Linked DNA regions of Anolis sagrei. The protein of the gene in region 2 interacts with the protein of the main gene of each other region in a biochemical or structural test. Links are inferred from orthologs where the notes say so. Each region holds a gene or a part of one and is shown on either strand. Other genes may lie near its edges.

Evidence for each region.
Region 1: the proteins of PRKACA (region 2) and BAD form a complex in vitro, tested with the Homo sapiens proteins (2 studies listed by BioGRID, with this or other methods). The link is inferred for Anolis sagrei from reciprocal best matches to the Homo sapiens genes PRKACA and BAD.
Region 3: of the proteins of PRKACA (region 2) and RRAD, one has a biochemical effect on the other in vitro, tested with the Homo sapiens proteins (2 studies listed by BioGRID). The link is inferred for Anolis sagrei from reciprocal best matches to the Homo sapiens genes PRKACA and RRAD.

The regions. Positions count from the first base shown.
Region 1 is NC_090032.1:16,530,867-16,534,622, reverse strand, and holds the start of BAD (bcl2-associated agonist of cell death), read left to right. Parts: upstream 1-1,359; 5' UTR 1,360-1,472; intron 1,473-3,756. UniProt on the Homo sapiens protein: Promotes cell death. Successfully competes for the binding to Bcl-X(L), Bcl-2 and Bcl-W, thereby affecting the level of heterodimerization of these proteins with BAX. Can reverse the death repressor activity of Bcl-X(L), but not that of Bcl-2.
Region 2 is NC_090022.1:112,796,778-112,800,533, forward strand, and holds the start of PRKACA (cAMP-dependent protein kinase catalytic subunit alpha), read right to left. Parts: upstream 3,009-3,756; 5' UTR 2,499-3,008; coding exon 2,309-2,498; intron 1-2,308.
Region 3 is NC_090028.1:20,917,955-20,921,710, forward strand, and holds the start of RRAD (GTP-binding protein RAD), read right to left. Parts: upstream 2,985-3,756; 5' UTR 2,948-2,984; intron 2,863-2,947; 5' UTR 2,862-2,862; coding exon 2,516-2,861; intron 737-2,515; coding exon 663-736; intron 1-662. UniProt on the Homo sapiens protein: May regulate basal voltage-dependent L-type Ca(2+) currents and be required for beta-adrenergic augmentation of Ca(2+) influx in cardiomyocytes, thereby regulating increases in heart rate and contractile force.

The DNA.
Region 1 (3,756 bases), on a different chromosome or scaffold from region 2:
TGGGCCCATATAATGCAATCTGAAATACATTAAGCTCCATTATATGGATCTCTCTCTTATGTGTAGTCAGTGCCATATATATATATATAAACACACATACATATACATATAGGGTCATGGTAGACCCATATAATGCAATCTGGACTGCATTGGCCTCCATTACATGAGTCTCCATATATATTATATATGACCAGTACCATCTATATATATATATATATATATATATATATATATATATATATATATATATGGATGGTACTGGCCATATATAATATATACCATGACCCATATATATATATATTATATATATATATTATAGGACTAGGGTAAATGCATATAATGCAATCTGGAATACACTGAGTTCCATTATATGGATCTACAGATATATTATATATATAATATATATGTAGATCCATATAATGGAACTCAGTGCGTCTACCCTAGCCCTATAATATATATATATATATGACATTGACATATATCATGTATAATATATATGTAGATCCATATAATGGAGCTCAGTGCGTCCACCCTAGCCCTATAATATATATATATATATATATATATATATATGATATTGACCATATATCCTATATAATATATATGTAGATCCATATAATGGAGCTCAGTGCATTCCAGACTACATTATATGCATCTACCCTGGCCCTATAATATATATATGGCACTGACCATATATAATATATATGTAGATCCATATAATGGAGCTCAGTGGCCATATATATACATATGCATATACATATACTTATACATATACATATACATATACACATATACATATACATATATATATATATATAATAGGGCCACTCATATAATGCAGTCTGGAGTATCTACATATATAATATATATATATATATATATATATATATATGTAGATACTCCATTCCAACCCTATATATATATATATATATATATATATATATATGGGGTTGGAATGGAGTATCTACACACACACACATATATTATAGGGCCACTCATATAGTGCAGTCTGGAGTATCTACATATATATGTGGCCAGTGCCTTATAATACATTATGTTGCATTACATTGTATTACATAGGGTCAGTGTACGCCCATCTACTGCAGTTTGAACAGCATTGATTCTACAGTGCAAACCTATCCCTAGATCTGGATGGCTTGCTGCACAGGTTTAGGTCACGTGCTCCCAGATTGTGTTCCCGGGCAGAGCGCTCCGGGAACAGCCAATGGCAAGCCACCCCGGCGCGGAAGGTAGCCAATAGGAAACGCCGGGGGCGGGGCTTCGGGAATAAAAAATTACAAAGGTGGGCGGGGCCTGCCTTGCAGCGGGAGTCCCCGCCCCTTAGCCGTGACGTCGAGAGATGTGATTGGACGCAGGGAGTGGCAGTCCTCCATCGCCCGGGCGACAGTGGCAGGGAAGAGCCAGGCTGTAAACACGAGCCGTGTCGAGAGAGTGAGGCAGCTTTGCTTGAGGTAAGGAGGATCGGGGCCTGGGAGGGAGGCAGGATTATCATTAGATCTTGGCTCTAATCATAATAATATGCTGGAATAGATGGATTTGGAGCCTGGAAGGGAGGAAGGAGCAGGACATCAACAATGGCTGCACCAGGAAATGCCTCTGATCAGTCAGAAAGGAAGCCCAGGCTGGGATGGCATGGGAAGCACACTCTCCCATCACTGTGAGGGAGGTTTTGAAGCAGAGTCTGACTGGCTATCTGTTGGGAGGGCTTTGATGGTGTCTTCCTATGGCAGAATGGGGTTGGACTGGATGGCCCACTACCCAGCTCTATATATGCTGATGAGCTAGGCCTAACAACACAAGCAGAAGACTTTGAAACAATTAGGGACAGGTAATCATCTCCCAACAAAGGATTCCCCCAGGCTGTAAGAAGCCACACCTTGAAACTGCTAGGCCATTAAATGCTAATCAAGGTGGCCAACTGAAACATTCACGCCTACCTCCAACAGACAAGAGTTCTTTCTCCCACCCTGGACATTATAAACCCCACTTTCCCAGTTTCCAAGTGCCAGCTAACACCTCCCAACAAAGGATTCCCCCAGGCAAGCTTTCAGTGCTAATCAAGGTGTCCAATTGAAATATTCACACCAACCTCCAACAGACAAGAGTTCTTTCTCCCACCCTGGACATTATCAACCCCACTTGCCTAACACCTCCCAACAAAGGATTCCCCCAGGCAAGCTTTCAATGCTAATCAAGGTAGCCAATTGAAACACTCACACTAACCTCCAACAGACAAGAGTTCTTTCTCCCAACCTGGACATTACTCCACAGGTATATAAACCCCACTTGCTTAGTTTCCATGTGCCAGCTTACACCTCCCAACAAAGGATTCCCCCAGGCAGGCTTTGAAGCTGCAAGGCCATTCAATGCTAATCAAGCTGGCCAATTGAAACATTCACACCTACCTCCAATAGACAAGAGTTCTTTCTCCCACCCAGGATATTATTCCACAGGAATATAAACCCCACGTGCCTAGTTTCCAAGTGCCAGCTAACACCTCCCAAAAAAGGATTCCCCCAGGCAAGCTTTCAGTGCTAATCAAGGTGGCCAATTGAAATATTCACACCTATCTCCCAACAGACAAGAGTTCTTTCTCCCACCCTGGACATTATAAACCCCACTTGTCTAGTTTCCAAGTGCCAGATAACACCTCCCAACAAAGGATTCCCCCAGGCAGGCTTTGAAGCTGCAAGGCCATTCAATGCTAATCAAGGTGGCCAATTGAAACATTCACATCAACCTCCAACAGACGAGTTCTTTCTCCCACCCTGGACATTATAAACCCCACTTTCCCAGTTTCCAAGTGCCATTTAACACCTCCCAACAAAGGATTCCCCCAGGCAGGCTTTGAAGCTGCAAGGCCATTGAGTGCTAATCAAGGTGGCCAACTGAAACATTCACGCCTACCTCCAACAGACAAGAGTTCTTTCTCCCACCCTGGACATTATAAACCCCACGCTCCTAACACCTCCCAACAAAGGATTCCCCCAGGCAGGCTTTGAAGCTGCAAGGCCATTCAATGCTAATCAAGGTGGCTAATTGAAACACTCACACCAACCTCCAACAGACAAGAGTTCTTTCGCCCACCCTGGACATTATAAACCCCACTTGCCTAACACCTCCCAACAAATGATTCCCCCAGGCGGCCTTTGAAGCTGCAAGGCCATTCAGTGCTAATCAAGGTGGCCTAACTCCAACAGACAAGAGTTCTTTCTCCCAACCTGGACATTATAAACCCTATTTGCCTAGTTTCCAAATGCCAGCTAACACCTCCCAACAAAGGATTCCCCCAGGCAGTAAGAAGCCACACCTTGAAACTGCTAGGCCATTCAATGCTGATCAAGGTGGCCAACTGAAACATTCACGCCTACCTCCAACAGACAAGAGTTCTTTCTCCAACCCTGGACATTATAAACCCCACTTGCCTAACACCTCCCAACAAAGGATTCCCCCAGGCAGGCTTTGAAGCTGCAAGGCCATTCAATGCTAATCAAGGTGTCCAATTGAAACATTCACACCAACCTCCAACAGACCAGAGTTCTTTCTCCCACCCTGGATCTTATAAACCCCACTTGCCTAACACCTCCCAACAAAGGATTCCCCCAGGCAGGCTTTGAAGCTGCAAGGCCATTCAGTGCAAGTCAAGGTGGCCAATTGAAACATTCACACCAACCTCCAACAGACAAGAGTTCTTTCTCCAACCCTGGACATTATAAACCCCACTTGCCTATTTCC
Region 2 (3,756 bases):
GGGATTGGTCATCGTTCTTTTACTAATGAAAACTGGAAGGTTCAAATGTTTTTACAGTGATACATGTGGAAGCGCAATTGTTTTTATCATCAAGTCCTTTGACAAAGAGCTAGGTAGAAAATGCTGGTAAGATCTAAAGCTGTGGATGTTGCACTGTGCTTTTGACTAGACAATCTCCCTGATAGCTTGGCCTCAGCTAGGACCCACAATCTTGTCCTCGCACTTTACTATTGTTCTATACCCAAAGTTATAATGCTCTATCGTATACTAACCCCTATCTCTATTGCTGCCATATGACCTATGCACTTTATCCATCAGCCCTATCCTCACAATTGTTTGTGCACCAGTCCCTCCACTCATGCCCAGAAACTGATTATTATCGCAGATCTCATTCATTACTGGTTTAATGTTTTGTTTTTATATTTTGTTATAATGTTGTTTTTCTGTTTTGTTTTGTTTTATATTATGTTGTTGTTGAGATATTTTAATGTGCTGTATCTTCACCATGTTGATCGGGCTCATCCCCGTGTAAGCCGCCCCAAGTCCCTTCGGGGAGATGGAGGCAGTGTACAAAAATAAAGTTATTGTATTATAATATTGTGCCTAGCTCCCATAATTAGATTTAACTTTCTGAAGAAGAAGATTGTCAGAGGTTCTGAGCATTTCTCTTCTTGTGCAACAGACCGGACACAGCACTGAGAAGAGATGCCAACGCCAAAAGCATAACAAGGCCAAAGAGGAATCTGGCATCAGATGTTGTACAAGCTTCTATTTTAGGCCATGCAGCAGTGCCAAAACTTACTGTCACAGCTTTGTTTAAACATACTTGAGGATCCAAAATCAGATTGCATTTAGTCTCTTCTGCTGCTGTGAGGTAGTAATGTATAGTGCAGACAATGCAAAGGTCTACTTTCTATTTCTGACCCAAAACCTGAAATAGAGTGCTCTGGGAATCAAAATACAACCGTTCACCAAGTCAAGAATCAAAACCATAGTCTCAGCTAGTAGTGGAAAGTGCTAAAACAATAATGGCCAGTCTATGTGTGTCATTACAAAGCTCTATCAGCTGGAGACGGGAATTCCCAAGTCTGATTAGGCATTTAATATGAAGAAAAATAAAGGTCTCCCTTACCAAGTGAGAAACATCCACAGGTAAGGCTGCAAAATGGTCACAAAAATAAAAGAGTATAGGAAGACATTGGATTTTTTAAATACTACCTTATCTGCCAGCTGGAATAAAAAAACTGACATTCTCCCCCAAATATGGCAGGACATCTCGGTATGCTTCACTATCCTTATTCTCTGCAGTCCAAGTTGTATATTTTTCTATATTACCAGTGTAGCCCAAAATGCACATCACAGCCAAATGCACAGAAACTAAACTTGCTAGGACTGATGGAAGTTGCTGTCCCAAAACACCTGGAAGGCCAAGTTTTCCCACTTCTACCATAATAAATTTTGGGTAGGGGTAGGAAAGAACAGATAAGTGCAGGGAAGAGGCATTTTCTCTAGACATTATTTCCCTGTGTCATCTCTTGCTCCTTCCCAAAACTTTCTGCCTGGAAAGGGAAACGGGTGAGGCAGGGAAATGGTTTCCAGGATAGATGGCACTCCTGCCATTATTCACCTTCTCTCTGCCACCCCCACCCAACTCTACCCCATGGCTTTACTCACATCAAAATGGCTGCTGAATTACTAGTACATTTCCTACAGTTTAAGCTAGTCTCCTATGTCATTTCAGTAAGTAATCCCTTTTTTATACAGACTGTCATACTTGAAATAGACAAATTAAGACATAGAGTATGCAATGAAGAGCCACTAAAGTCAGTGTTTAAATCATTTAGTGGCCAGCAGTGAAGCAGAGTTGGATCAATGGTCATGCTTGATAAACACTGGGAGGTTAAAATCATAGCCACACACTAGGGAGCCCTTCTGTCATTGAGAAATGATAATTTTCTATGGCTGGGGGATTCTGCGAGTTGTAAACAAAAAAGCAGTTTTTCCCCAGCTCTGGTGTCCCTAAAAGGAAGCAACCTGCACTTCAAAACATAGCCTAGCATGAATAACTGAATGGACAGTAGCCACAACCAAAATGTCTATCAGAATAGCATATCACATCTGATATTTTCTTTGGCAACAAACAGCAGCTTACTTCACTGACCTGATCCACATTCAGCTGCCAAGACATGCATAAGGAGAACAGTAGCAATTGCTTTTGTTCTGTACAGATTAATTTTGGGAGGAGAGATTCAGGGAACCTTACACCCATCCCTAGACCCCTTGAAGCCATGCTTTATTGTCAACTCACTCTGCTCATTCCAAGCAGCCGTGTGCTCTGATTCAGAGGCTGTGTTTCCACATTCAGGCAGCCCTGCATCACTCCGTGGGCCCCAGTAAAAGATCCGGCCAGCCAGATTCTCCAGTTTCTGTAGCGCCGACATCTTACACCCTTTGTTCTTGCTGGAGTTTCGAGAGTTCACCTCAGCTCCATGGTTCATGTTTCCCTTTATTTTAATCACCAGTTTCTTTGCCTGCTCCAGCTCTGCTCTCACATCAAACAGAGTGAGGCCACTCCGTCAGGGTCTAGGAGAGCACTTGCCCCAGTCGTTGCCATTTGCAAGAAGATTGGGACAGACACAACCCTCTTTCTGTCCTGCTGCAGGAAGAGAAGGCTGAAAGCAGCAACAGGAGAGCAGACACAGCCCAGACTCAGCAGAGCTCTTTACATTCCTGTCCAACTGATTGAGACAAGCACTTGGCTCAAACAAACTGTTTGCGACTTCTAACCGGGAGAGAATTTTCATCAAAATGACTTCGCTGGACCAAAACACTCATGACAGTTCAGCAACTGGTACGCAGCTCTCCAGGGCAGCCATCCATGTGCATACCAGGATTCCCCAACTCCCACGATGTCCAGGAAAGGTCCATCATTGCCCAGTCCATAGTCTCTGTGTATTCAGCAACAAACACGGGCAGCCTGGTCACTTAAACAGCTGGTCAGAGGGTGAACAGCGGGCAGATTTGATTAATACAGAAGGAGGGAGGGAGGGAGGCAGGCAGGCTTGCCAGATCAACTGTAGTGAGGGCCACGCAATAAGGCTTAAAATAGCTCAGAGATTCTCTGAATCCCTTTCACCCTCAGGCCTGAAGGTAGGGCAAATAAGGCTCTCACCAGGTAGGAAACCCCCACAACACAGGGTGATCCTCCAATGCAAAAGAGGGAGAAGAATTTCAGAAGACAGAGCTAGTCAGCTAACACAATGAAATGACCACACCCCAACTCAAAAAGCTTGGCCTATAGTGTGGCAAGACAGATACAGTCTGTAAGACAGAGGCAAAAGAAGAGCTTGTTCAGATGCTATGTTTTCTGGTGATGGGCACTTCCTCTCCCTAAATGTTAAGGCTGCAAAACACTCTTTTGCAAAATATCATTCATTGTTATAATGATCTGTAGAATCTATTTATAAAACATTTCCAAATGTGCACAAAAAGTGTGCATAGCTGCACAGTCCATAATCTTCCCACAAAGATCAGGAATGAAAATAACGGCTCACTTCTAGTGACTTAACCTTTGCTTTGCCTCCATCCAAAAGTTAAGAAGCCACTGGTAAATGAAACCTCTTCTAATAAATAAGAAATGAGTTGGTGGAAAAGAGAAGGAGAAAGTACAAGCCAGATATCTTTTTCTCATATGGATTATTTGCCAAAGAAATGTATATTTAGGACAGGAATCCAAACACGGCAGTACGGTTATTG
Region 3 (3,756 bases), on a different chromosome or scaffold from region 2:
GCATTTAACTCTGAATGTATGGTTTTAAAATGTTTTAATGTATTTTTTAAAATTCTATTTTAATAATTATTTAAGTGTACATTGTGTTTTAAGGCATATAAAGCTGCCTTGAGTCCCCTCTGGGGTAAGAAAGGTGGGGTAGAAATATCGTAAATAAATATCTCATTTCTGGGACAGCAACTGTAAAAGTATCTCCAACATGACCACAAAAGTAAGTTTACCAAGCTCTTTAAGGCAACTGTTATAGCCTATATATGGTGACAGATCAGGCATGGGCAAACTTCAGCCCTCCAGGTGCTTTGGAATTCAACTCTCACAATTCTTAACAGCTTCAGGCCCTTTCCTTTTCTCTTTCCTTTAGCGCAGTGGTTCTCAACCTGAGGTCCCCAGTTGTTTTTGGCTTACAACTCCCAGAACTCCTAGCAGCTGGTAAACTAGCTGGGATTTCTGGGAGTTGTAGGCCAAAAACATCTGGGGACCCCAGGTTGAGAACCACTGCTTTAGCGGCTGAGGGGGGAAAGGAAGGGCCTGAGGCTGTGAGGACTTGTGGGAGTTGAAGTCCAAAACCCCTGGAGAGCCCAGGTTTACCCATAAATGAGCACTCTATGGACTATATAGGACAGAGTATGATACATAGAACATGTAAGAAATATACAATTTACCTGCTCCCATATGTCAAACACCACCAGAGAAGCTTCTTCACCATCAACTATAATGGATCTGTCATATGTATTGCCTATAAAGAGAGAGACATGAGAACAAGAAATATGAGCTTTCCCTGTGACGTTTTCTATAATGTACAAGGATCTCATCTTTAGAAAAAATAAGTTAAAAGGTAAAGGTTTCCCCTTGACATTAAGTCTCGTTGTGTCCGACTCTGGGAGGTGGTGTTCATCTCCATTTCTAAACTGAAGAGCCGGCATTGTAGACACCTCCAAGGTCATGTGGCAAGCATGACTGCATGGAGCACCGTTACCTTCCCGTTGAAGTGGTACCTATTGATCTACTCACATTTGCATGTTTTCGAATTGCTAGGTTGGCAAAAGCTGAGGCTAATAGCGGGAGCTCACCCCACTACCCAGATTCAGACCACCAAAACTTTCGGTTAGTAAGTTCAGCAGTGCAGTAGTTTAACCCTCTGCACCACCGGGGCGCAGAAAAGATACCTAGTTCACTAAATCCCTGAAACGTGCATCAAAGCAGACGTCTCTAAAGGCGGAGGGTAGGACAACCTGGCCATTTATTTATTTATCGTGTCAGGAGCAGACCAAACAGTTGCATTGCATTTTTTAAAGAAACAAACAAAACACAAAGTTTGCAAGCTTGCTAGTTGATTAAATGCCCTTTGACCAGTATCTGGCCACTTGGAGTGCCACTGGTGTTGCCGCAAGAGGGTCCTCCATTGCGCATGTGGCAGGGCTCAGGTTGCATTGCAGCAGGTGGTCAGTGGTTTGCTCTTCTCTACACTCGCATGTTGAGGATTCCACTTTGTAGCCCCATTTCTGAAGGTTGGCTCTGCATCTTGTGGTGCCAGAGCGCAGTCTGTTCAGCGCCTTCCAAGTCGCCCAGTCCTCTGTGCCCAGGGGGGAGCCTCTCATTTGGTATCAGCCATTGGTTGAGGTTTATTTATTCATTTACTTTATTTGTATACCGCAGTTTCTCAGCCCGTAGGCGACTCACCGCGGTTAACAACAGCAGGAGCAAAAATTAAATGCTAGCATCATACAAACCATTTAAAAACAACACAATAATATACTAAGTAACTAATTTCTGGGTTTTGGGTTTGAGCTTGCCACTTTTGGACTCTCGTTTGCTGAGGTGTTCCAGCGAGTGTCTTTGTCGATCTTAGAAAACTATGTCTAGATTTAAGTCGTTGACGTGCTGGCTGATACCCAAACAGGGGATGAACTGGAGATGTCTCTGCCTTGGTGGATGTCTCTACTTTCCAGCGGATATCAGGTGGTGCAATACCGGCTAAGCAGTGTAATTTCTTCAGTGGTGTAGGGCGCAGACACCCCGTGATAATGCGGCATGTTTCATTAAGAGCCACATCCACTGTTTTAGCATGGTGAGATATGTTCCACACTGGGCATGCATACTCAGCAGCAGAGTAGCATAGCACAAGGACAGATGTCTTCACTGTGTCTGGTTGTAATCCCCAGGTTGTGCCAGTCAGCTTTCGTATGGTATTGTTTCTAGCACCTACTTTTTGCTGGATGTTCAGGCAGTGCTTCTTGTAGGTCAGAGCACGGTCCTGACACGATAAATAAATACCACTTCCTCAGCCTCAGTGGTTCTCAACCTGGGGTCCCCAGATGTTTTTGGCCTACAACTCCCAGAAATCCCAACAGCCTCAGGCCCCTTCCTTTTCCCCCTCAGCCGCTTAAGCGGCTGACGGGGAAAAGGAAGGGGCCTGAGGCTGTTGGGATTTCTGGGAGTTGTAGGCCAAAAACATCTGGGGACCCCAAGTTGAGAACCACTAGTGCTGGCCCCTTTCCCTTCCCCTGCCACTCACCGGCCTCTTCCGCCTCAGGCCCCTCCTCCAGGCCTCCGAAGACGCGCGCCAGGCTGCTCTTCCCGACGCCTCGCGCCCCGAGCAGCAGGACTTTGTGGAGTCTCCCTTCCGCGTCGCTGCCGGAAGAGGAAGTGGAAGCCAGCGAGTCCGAAGAGCCCGAGGCCCGGCGCGGCAGTTCCACCTCCACTTCCGGTTCCTCTTCCTGAGCCGCGAGCTCCCTCTCGTCGACCGGCATGCTGCGCCGGTGCAGAGCCTCCTGGTGCTGGAGCTGCTGCTGGGCCGCGAAGGGCGTGCTCCCGCGCCTCCGGTCGGGAACGTTCAGGCGGGCGCTGCGGTTGAGCGTCATCCTGAGGGAAAGAAAGAGTTAAGTTCCAGCGGGGCCCAATTGCCATTCCTTCGAGGCGTCCTTTCCTTCCAGTATCCGCCACTTACCTCAGAAACTCCTGACACAAACACTTCTGTTGCTTCTTCCCCTTCTTCTTTCACTCCACTCACCTCATGACAGAACTTCGCGCGTCTATTTATACTCTTTCGGATGCTCCGCCTTCGTGACGTCGGTTCAACCCGTCCTCCAATCAGGTTGCGAATTAGAATAGAGCGCTCCCCTCGTTTGTCATCCTCCTCCTCCTCCTGGTGCGTCATAGAAGCCCCTTCCTGAGGGGAAAAGAAGAATGGATTCGGTTGTTGTAGGTTTCCTCGGGATATATGGTCATATTCTAGAGGCATTCTCTCCTGACGTTTCGCCTGCATCTATGGCAAGCATCCTCAGAGGTTGTGAGGTCTATTTGGAAGTAGGAAAATGGGTTTATATATCTGTGGAATGACCAGAGTGGGACAAAGGACTCTTGTCTGTTGGAGCTAGGTGTGACTGTTTCAACTGACCACCTTGATTAGCATTTGATGGCCTGGCAGTGCCTGAGGCAATCTTCTGTTGAGAGGTGATTAGATGTGCCTGATTGTTTGCTGTTGTATATGGCCATGTTCTAGAGGCATTTTCTCCTGACGTTTCACCTGCATCTATGGCAACCATCCTCAGAGGTAGTGAGGTCTGTTGGAACTAGGAAAATTGGGTTTATATGGAATGACCAAGGTGGGGCAAAGAACTCTTTGTCTGTTGGAGCTAGGTATGAATGTTTCAACTGACCACCTTGATTAGCATTTGGTGGCCTGGCAGTGCCTGAGCAGGCCCGTAGCCAGGATTTCGATTCGGGGGGGGGGGGGGGGGGCTGAGTCCAAGTGAA